2 linked regions of the Schizosaccharomyces pombe genome follow. The protein of the gene in region 1 interacts with the protein of each later gene in a biochemical or structural test. Each region holds a gene or a part of one and is shown on either strand. Other genes may lie near its edges.

Evidence for each region.
Region 2: the proteins of mtf1 (region 1) and mcp60 form a complex in vitro, tested with the Schizosaccharomyces pombe proteins (one study listed by BioGRID).

The regions. Positions count from the first base shown.
Region 1 is NC_003424.3:1,808,721-1,813,034, reverse strand, and holds mtf1 (RNA polymerase-specificity factor Mtf1), read left to right. Parts: upstream 1-1,704; 5' UTR 1,705-1,911; coding exon 1,912-3,012; 3' UTR 3,013-3,555; downstream 3,556-4,314. Other genes in the region: dihydrolipoamide dehydrogenase Dld1, read left to right, coding at 1-902; SPOM_SPAC1002.07C (N-acetyltransferase Ats1), read left to right, coding at 3,794-3,869, 4,117-4,235, 4,294-4,314.
Region 2 is NC_003424.3:339,212-344,361, reverse strand, and holds mcp60 (protein Mcp60), read left to right. Parts: upstream 1-2,264; 5' UTR 2,265-2,506; coding exon 2,507-4,255; 3' UTR 4,256-4,596; downstream 4,597-5,150. Other genes in the region: RNA-binding protein Cip2, read left to right, coding at 1-963. UniProt on the Schizosaccharomyces pombe protein: May participate in assembly and/or disassembly of proteins imported into the mitochondrion. HSP60 are ATPases and have affinity for unfolded proteins.

The sequences.
Region 1 (4,314 bases):
CTTTATCAGAGGTCCCAAAAAAGATGACCGTTCTTGGTGGTGGTATCATTGGATTGGAGATGGGCAGTGTATGGTCAAGACTTGGTGCAGAGGTTACCGTCGTTGAGTTTTTGCCAGCTGTTGGAGGTCCTATGGATGCAGACATTTCCAAGGCTTTATCTCGTATCATTTCTAAGCAAGGTATCAAATTTAAGACATCTACCAAATTGCTTAGCGCCAAGGTGAATGGTGACAGCGTTGAGGTTGAAATTGAGAATATGAAGAATAACAAGCGTGAAACTTATCAGACTGATGTTTTGTTGGTTGCTATCGGCCGTGTTCCATACACTGAGGGTCTTGGCCTCGATAAGCTTGGAATTTCTATGGATAAAAGCAACAGAGTAATTATGGATAGTGAGTACCGTACTAACATCCCCCATATCCGTGTGATTGGTGACGCTACCCTTGGTCCTATGTTAGCTCACAAGGCAGAAGATGAGGGTATTGCCGCTGTTGAGTATATCGCAAAGGGTCAGGGACATGTTAATTACAACTGTATTCCCGCTGTAATGTACACTCATCCTGAAGTTGCTTGGGTTGGTATTACCGAACAAAAGGCCAAAGAAAGCGGTATTAAGTATAGAATTGGCACTTTCCCCTTTTCCGCCAATTCCCGTGCCAAGACCAATATGGATGCCGATGGTCTTGTTAAAGTCATTGTAGATGCGGAAACCGACCGTTTACTTGGAGTACACATGATTGGCCCTATGGCTGGTGAATTGATTGGTGAAGCAACTCTCGCTCTTGAATATGGAGCTAGTGCTGAAGATGTCGCTCGTGTTTGCCATGCCCATCCCACTTTGAGTGAGGCTACTAAGGAAGCAATGATGGCTGCCTGGTGTGGAAAGAGTATTCACTTTTAGAGGGGACTCTACTAGTGAGCCATTCAAGATTCATATAAACGATTAAAGCTTATGATTGATAAGAATAAATTTGAATTGCTTCGAATTTTTGTTTATGTTTCTGACGAATTCTAGTATGTCTAGTATGTTTCAATTGATACTTTCCGTTTACTTTTTCATTTATATTCGCCTATTAGGCTTTCTATAGTTCTGGCACATTGTGTTGCGATTATTTATTCCAATAATGAACTTATTATGGATTACATGTTCCATATGATAGTAAAAGAGAACTAAGAATTTGTTTGATATATACGTTTCACCGTTTTTTATGGAATACATCCTAAACTTATATCTTGCAAGTAAATTAAAGTTATGAACTGAATTTAGCTCCCAATAATTACAATTATCCAGTTCTTACGGTTGTGACAGATATCATCATTAAAGCGGTAGTTTCACAATCCAATTGTTGCGCTATAACTTGGAGATTGAATATTTTTTTTTTCAATTGCTATTACCATTAATTAATCATCATAGACAGCTCGCATGACTGGTTCAAAAAGTAAAAAATTGTATTATTCTACTTTGCGTTGAGTAGTTAACAGTTTTCCTTACTTGAAAAACATCGTTCTTTTCCAGTTAATTCAACATTACACGTTTATTCAAAGTTTCTATAACTTCTATAGTTTTGTTTACTTGGAAATACCGTATTTGACCAGGATACATAATTCGTATTGCGTAAAATTGATGGGCTTCGTTAATGTTTATGAATGAATTAACTAAAGCCGAGCATTAAATAAACTTGCACATGGTGATGTTTTAGACTGAACAATGCGCATATGAATGTGTTGTTTAACCACATTTAAATGAACAGAAAAAGAAAGCAAGCGTAAAGGTGACATCTTTTTTTAAAATTAGAAAAAAAATTAATGTCTTCAATTTTTCGTTATTGAATATATCACAGGTCATTTGACCAATCTTGGACTGTTTATACGAATTATGCAGAAAGTAATCAATTGCTAAAATAATCAATATGAAGCTTCCTAAAATTTTATATGACGCAGCTGCATTTGGAGGACCAAGATCCACGGGGTTTGTTAAGATATTAAACCTAAACGGTCGTTCTTCGTATAAGTCATCGTATCTTGTGAATCAGAATTTGATGGATGAAGCGCTTGTGAAAAGCAATCTGCTTAAGGAATACAACTCGGAGAAAATGACTATTTTAGAAATGGCACCGGGACCGGGAGTGACTACCACTTCGCTGTTCAATTACTTCCAACCTAAAAGTCACGTTGTGCTAGAATCACGGGAAGTTTTTTCCAAACCTTTACAAAAATTGTGTACGCTTTCTGATGGAAGGATTAAGTGGGTGCATCAAGATGGTTATTATTGGCAAACTTACGAAGATGTGTACGTTTCGAAGGTTTTGGATCCTCGTATTCAAACAGAAGAGGAGCAGAAGTTATCACCACATCGCGAACTTTTATTTTTTGCTCATCTTCCTCATGGTTATGCCGGGTTATTATTTGTTTCTCAAATTTTAGACTTTCTCTCGGCAAGGGATTGGCTTGGCATTTTTGGAAGAGTTCGTGTATTGCTATGGTTGCCCTGTTCTCCTACTGTTACTCTTCTTGGAAGTAGGGGATTTTCAAAAAGATCCAAGACATCAGTTTTCCGAGAGGCCTTTACAGACTCTCGTGTATTAGCTGCCTCCGAGTCAACATTGCAAAAATTATGTATGGGGTATAGTAAAGAGGCCAAGGAGAATTATCAAATTTCTCCAAATCCTTTATTAGTTTCACCCACGCCAATTACTAGTGAACCGCATAAAGAGGACCTTACTTTGGTTGAAATGTGCTCCAAACCACAAGATAAACAATTGTCTATTCCAGTGTTTGAAAGCATTGTTAGGATACTGTTGACATGTAAAGCAACATCACTTTCAAAATCCATTTATTATTTAGGCCCAGGTGCGGAAACTCTATTACCCTCCTTCACCCAATGTGGGATTAACATCGATATGCCCGTTGGACTATTGAGTGCAGCCGACTTTCTTACCATTTCAAAAATTATACAAAAATATCCTTTCAAACATCATTTACATTTGGGTACAATAATTGAAGATTCATAAAATTTACAGAAAATTGGGGGAAACAAACGTATTGATTGTTTTTGTTCATACACGCATTTCTTTGCATCCAGTAATTTTGGTTTTTTAAAACCACTCTCTTTTTTATCATTTCTCCACTTCATGTTCTACTCATTGCGTTCTGAGGCCACTGTATTTCATTTATTTGCCTGTGCCATATTCGCTACATCATTAAAGGATTTGTTTGCGTTGAGACACGCGTTCATTCTAATCACCATATTTAAAATAACTTATGCTTGCTTAATCTATTACTAATTTATTCAATTTAAGTGGATAGCTTCCGTTCAGGCTTGTTTTACGTTCTTTTATGTCTCTCATAGTCTCAGGTATCATTTTTTTTTTGGAAAGTGCATAAATGCAATATGGATTTAACTGAGCTATTTTAAATGGAAGTTTACATCTTTCAACTTTTTTAGATGTTAATTAATACAAATACCATAACTTCGAAAAACTATTATAATATTCTTTATTATACCATGCTGTTTATTAAATTGTTTACTGAATTAATGTTTCATTATTATGAGTTGCTTTAGCTTTCAAGGTAGTATTTAATAATCGTTCAGTAGAAAAGCGGATTATTCATTCCCAAACATAAAAAGGTAAATGGAACATACTAGATTAGTTTCTACCCGTATTTGGCATTCCAAAAATAATATGATGAGATCTCATCAGTTTAAAGTGCGCTAGACAATAAACTACCATTAGGCCACGCATATTATTTACTGTTAGCACTGCACACCAAGTAAACCAATTAATTCAAAACATGGGTTCAGTTCGCATTCGCTCTGTCATTAAAGAAGATCTTCCGACCGTTTATCAGTTTATTAAAGAATTGGCAGGTAAGCGCCGTTATGACCAAGAGGACGAAGTCGTGTAGATTCTATTAAAAGGCTAGAGCTTTTGCCAGTATCCCAGACTCACAGGGTCTGATTCTCTTATTGAATTGGAGATTACTCTTAAGCTTTTTATATGGATTTGAGAATATATGGTTTTCGTCAGCAGGGTCGATCTCTACTTCTGTCCGCATGCTATCAGATCAGTTTGTGTTACTATTTAAAAACCGGTTTTAACATTTTGTTTATGAAGAATTTGAAAAATGTGAAGATCAAGTGGAAGCGACAATTCCGAATTTAGAAGTTGCATTTGGATTTATTGACGAGGTTACTCCTGTGGCATATGGAGTATTCATCGAAGAAAATGATCAGGTTCGTAAAAAAAAGTAAACTTGCTTGATCTTTTTTACTAATCTATAATTGCCATCAGCCCGCAGGAATGGCTATATAT
Region 2 (5,150 bases), 1.5 Mb from region 1:
ATCCCACGTCCATACGCTTTTAATTATCATTTTGATAACGGAGTTTTTAGGGGCCTTGCCTTTGCTAATTTCCATTCTCCAGAGGAAGCCAAAACGGTTGTGCAAGTTTTGAATGGCTATGAAATTACTGGTCGTCGTCTTCGTGTTGAATGGAAGCGTCAACTACCGCCTGCGGAGCGTGAACGTGTTGAGCGTGGTAAACAAGAGAAACGCGCTGTAGAAGAACGAAAAAATCAATTGAAATCTCCGTTTTCTGTTGCCAATATAGGTGCTGGCATTGATTTTGATTTGAATGATCCAGCTATACTCAATGTATATTCTCATATCTTGTTATTTTATTATCGCAGCGATAACACTAATGATCTTGTATTTGATTCTTCAACCACCCAGGAAGAACGTCGGGTTGCTGCCTTATTAGCTTCCCGTCTCAATCTCAATCATTCAGTTACTGGTGACGGTGAAGCTAAGCAAGTGGTTATTACCATGCCTAGTACTCATTTTACTCCCGCTAATAATTCGAGTGCTAACCACTCTCCTTTGATGGCCCCAAACGCCAGTACTTTAAATCCTTCTTCTTTAGGTGCTTCCAATTTGAGCCAACCAAGTCTTGCAAATCACTTGAGCTCCTCTGGTTTATTTGACAATGGTCTTTTCTCGTCCGGTGGTCTTTCTAGTAATTTTTCAAGTCTTAGACGACCCGCTCCCTCTATGCATCTTGCGGATAGCATACGTTCTCTCAGAGGACTAAATGATTCTAAAGCCTTTTCCGACATACGTAGTATGCCAGCTACTCCGTTAGAACTTGCTACTCCTTTTGCTAATTTAAATGTTTCCTCTCCACTGGATCGCAATGCGACTAATTCATCAAATACTTTAAACGGTAGTGCGATGAACGATTATTTTGCAAGCCTTACTCCATCAAACACCGGTGCTATTGGATCCAGAACTTTTACAAAGAATTAGTCTTGGATTTTTTGTTTTTCCCTGCTTTTGATTAATCTTGTTTTGGCTATGTCTCGGGTTTTATTAAGTTTCATTTACCTTACGATAATAAGCGCTTTCAAGCAAATTTATACTTTGTACATAAAAACGACGAGTGAAATTATCTCAATGAATTATCCATTTTTACGACCTAGTGTTCAATTGAGGACATGATTTTCATGCTTATATCGTTTACATACTCACTTCGGATGTGCATGTGATCGGGCTCATGCTTTTAAACTATAATGTGATTCTTGTAAAACGAAAAGGATTTAATTTAATAGATGATATTTTTCTCTCTTCAAAGTCACGTTTATGATTATTTTGAGAGGAATAAAATGGAATTTTCTTTTGTGAGATTTTTTTAAACTTTTGTATCGCAAATCCGGTTTGACGATTCGTATACTGGGATACGATGCTTGAGCTATACAGCAAAAGTCTCAAATAAAATTTACGATAACCGATCTTACGTGGGATGTTAATGGTGTTATTTGCAATAATTTGTTGTTTTGATTGTGTTTTGTTCTTATGTGTAGGACCTTTCGTTACTATCAATACCTTTTCAATTTCTATATCTCATATGTTTTGTACGGACCCAGCTTGTTCACGTTAGTGTCACTCGGTTTTTAACTATTACGAATGATGGCTTCATTTTAATGGCTGTTTGGCTAATTGTGCCTAAATTCTTTTCCGTGTTATTGATTTGATAATGTGTTAAAGAATTCAATTTCGATTATGAGAGTTCGGTTGTCATTTGTATGATTTTTTTCGTCAAGATATGATTGCACTATTTTTTTTTTGTTATTATTATTTTTTTTCGCACTGTTTTTAGTGGATACTTGATGATTTTGTCTAAACGTATCTCGTATCTGCTGTATCGTTTAGTATTACTTTTTAAATAAGTATAGAACATTTACGACTTTTTAATTTGATAAATTGAGTTGATCTTTCTTATTTGAATAATCACGAAGAAACGGCACATTGACCATAGTCGAGCACCGCATTTTTTTTAGAGGTTTTAATGACTGTAAATCGACTAAATGAAAACGCTCCCCGTTCTTGCTCTATATGTTTTAATTTTTTAGAAGCCGTTTAGCGATAAACAATGCAATACACTATTTTTCGATATTTTTCTTCAAGAAGCTACCAAACCTATTCTTAAAATTTGGTCGCTTTTCTATTGGCTATTTGCCGGCATGTCAATCTTTATCCCATCAAAGTTCTTTCTAGAATATCAGGCAGTCACAGTATATATAATGTCTATTATAGCTAACTTATCGTCTGCCTAGCCTTGTTTGGAATTTCATTAAGCGGAAAATAGTGAAGAGTATTTCACGTATTTTAAAACCAATAATATATCTAAAAGCTGCAAGCATTTATTTTTGCAGGGACAGCTAGCTGGTTATATTCCTAACGTGTGGGTTGTATTTGCGTTAGATAACTTTACATTTCTTTATATCTCTTTTTGGGTGCATTAAAAAAAACCATTTTTTACAACTTCATTTTATTTCATTAATTAAACATAATGGTGAGCTTCCTTTCTTCCAGTGTATCTCGTCTACCTTTAAGAATTGCTGGTCGTCGAATCCCCGGCAGATTTGCCGTCCCTCAAGTTCGTACATATGCTAAAGACTTAAAATTTGGTGTTGATGCTCGCGCATCTTTACTCACCGGTGTCGATACTCTTGCTCGTGCCGTATCTGTAACTTTGGGACCAAAGGGCCGTAATGTCTTGATTGACCAACCTTTTGGTTCCCCTAAAATCACTAAGGACGGTGTAACTGTCGCCCGTAGTGTAAGTTTGAAAGATAAATTCGAAAACCTTGGTGCAAGACTAGTTCAGGATGTTGCAAGCAAGACTAATGAAGTTGCTGGTGATGGTACCACTACTGCTACTGTTTTAACTCGTGCCATCTTTTCTGAGACTGTTCGTAACGTGGCTGCCGGTTGCAACCCTATGGACCTTCGCCGGGGAATTCAACTTGCTGTTGATAACGTCGTCGAATTTTTGCAAGCCAATAAGCGTGATATTACTACTTCTGAAGAGATTTCCCAAGTCGCTACCATCTCTGCTAACGGTGACACTCATATCGGTGAGCTTCTTGCTAAAGCCATGGAACGTGTTGGTAAAGAAGGCGTTATCACCGTCAAAGAAGGGCGCACAATAAGCGACGAATTAGAGGTTACTGAGGGTATGAAGTTTGATCGTGGTTACATTTCTCCTTACTTTATTACCGATGTCAAATCACAAAAGGTTGAATTTGAAAATCCTCTTATTCTTCTTTCTGAAAAGAAAGTGTCTGCTGTCCAAGACATTCTTCCCTCTTTGGAGCTTGCCGCTCAGCAGCGTCGTCCCTTAGTTATCATCGCAGAGGACGTTGATGGTGAAGCTTTGGCTGCTTGTATCTTAAACAAGCTTCGTGGGCAATTACAAGTTGTTGCTATTAAAGCCCCTGGCTTTGGTGACAACCGTCGTAATATGCTTGGAGATTTAGCCGTCTTGACTGATAGTGCCGTGTTCAATGATGAAATTGATGTTTCCATCGAAAAGGCTCAACCCCATCATTTGGGTAGCTGTGGCTCTGTAACTGTCACCAAGGAAGACACTATCATTATGAAAGGTGCTGGTGACCATGTTAAAGTTAACGACCGTTGTGAACAGATTCGTGGTGTCATGGCCGACCCTAATCTCACTGAATACGAAAAAGAAAAGCTTCAAGAGAGATTGGCCAAATTGAGCGGTGGTATTGCTGTTATTAAGGTTGGAGGCTCCAGTGAAGTTGAAGTCAACGAGAAGAAAGACCGTATTGTTGATGCATTGAATGCTGTTAAGGCTGCTGTTTCCGAGGGTGTTCTCCCAGGTGCTGGTACCTCTTTTGTTAAGGCTAGTCTTCGCTTAGGAGACATTCCTACAAATAACTTTGATCAAAAGCTTGGCGTCGAAATTGTTCGCAAAGCTATCACTCGTCCCGCTCAAACCATTCTTGAAAATGCTGGATTAGAGGGTAACTTGATTGTTGGTAAACTTAAGGAGCTTTATGGCAAGGAATTTAACATCGGTTATGATATTGCTAAGGATCGTTTTGTTGATTTAAATGAAATTGGTGTTTTGGATCCCCTAAAGGTCGTACGTACCGGTTTAGTTGATGCTAGTGGAGTCGCCTCATTAATGGGTACCACCGAATGTGCCATCGTCGATGCTCCTGAAGAGTCCAAGGCCCCTGCTGGTCCTCCCGGAATGGGTGGCATGGGTGGAATGCCCGGTATGATGTAAGGTATCAAAAAAATGCCGACGTGGTTTTTTAAATTTTTACAATTTATTAAAAGCTTATGATTATGATGATTTAAATCCATTCAGAGAAATTGGCTTTAATTTTGCATTATGTTGTTGACCTTCGTAAAATTCTTTAGTTTCAAAACTAGTTAATGGGTCATACTTCTGTTAATGGATACTTATTGTTTTGAAACTTTTCATTCGGCTATTCTCATATGGTTGCTAATTGTACAATCAAACTCCTGATTTTGTTTAATGAACATAATGTTTTACCTTGTGTTTATTACACATTATAATTTCACTCTTTTTACGAATGGTATGACTTTCGACTTAAATACCAAGTTTTCACTTTTGTGTTTTTGTAAGTTCTGAATTGTGTTTACGTAAAGCATCAAGTTTCTTTATATTTCCTATACAGGTTTGTGGTGAGCTTTGAAATGGTTGAAGTATGTGAGAGATAAATGATTTTGAAAATGATGAAAATAACGCGGATGAAATATATGTCCGAGAGCGCAAAAAATGTGTGGATATTTCCGTTGCCTTCCTTCTGATTCAAAATTATTATATAACTTATATATTTTTAGCTGTCGTGCGAGTATCCCTACTATATTCTTTTTAGGGGATCTGTATAGGTCATATAAAGAAAATTAAAATGCATGATATTATGTTATCACTAGTATTGTGGTAAATTGTATTTTCAAAGTTATGATGAGAGGCAATTGTAAGTAATAAAGAAACATTGGTGCGGTGTAAATTTTAAATGAGCCTAGTAGTTGAAGAAAGCTCTCGACGAGCTCATGCCAATTTCACAGCCTTACATGAATTACTCCAGTTTTTGTAACATTTTAAGAAAAAGCGCGCCGTCACTGATGTTGTTGCCGTCTCTTTCACTTTT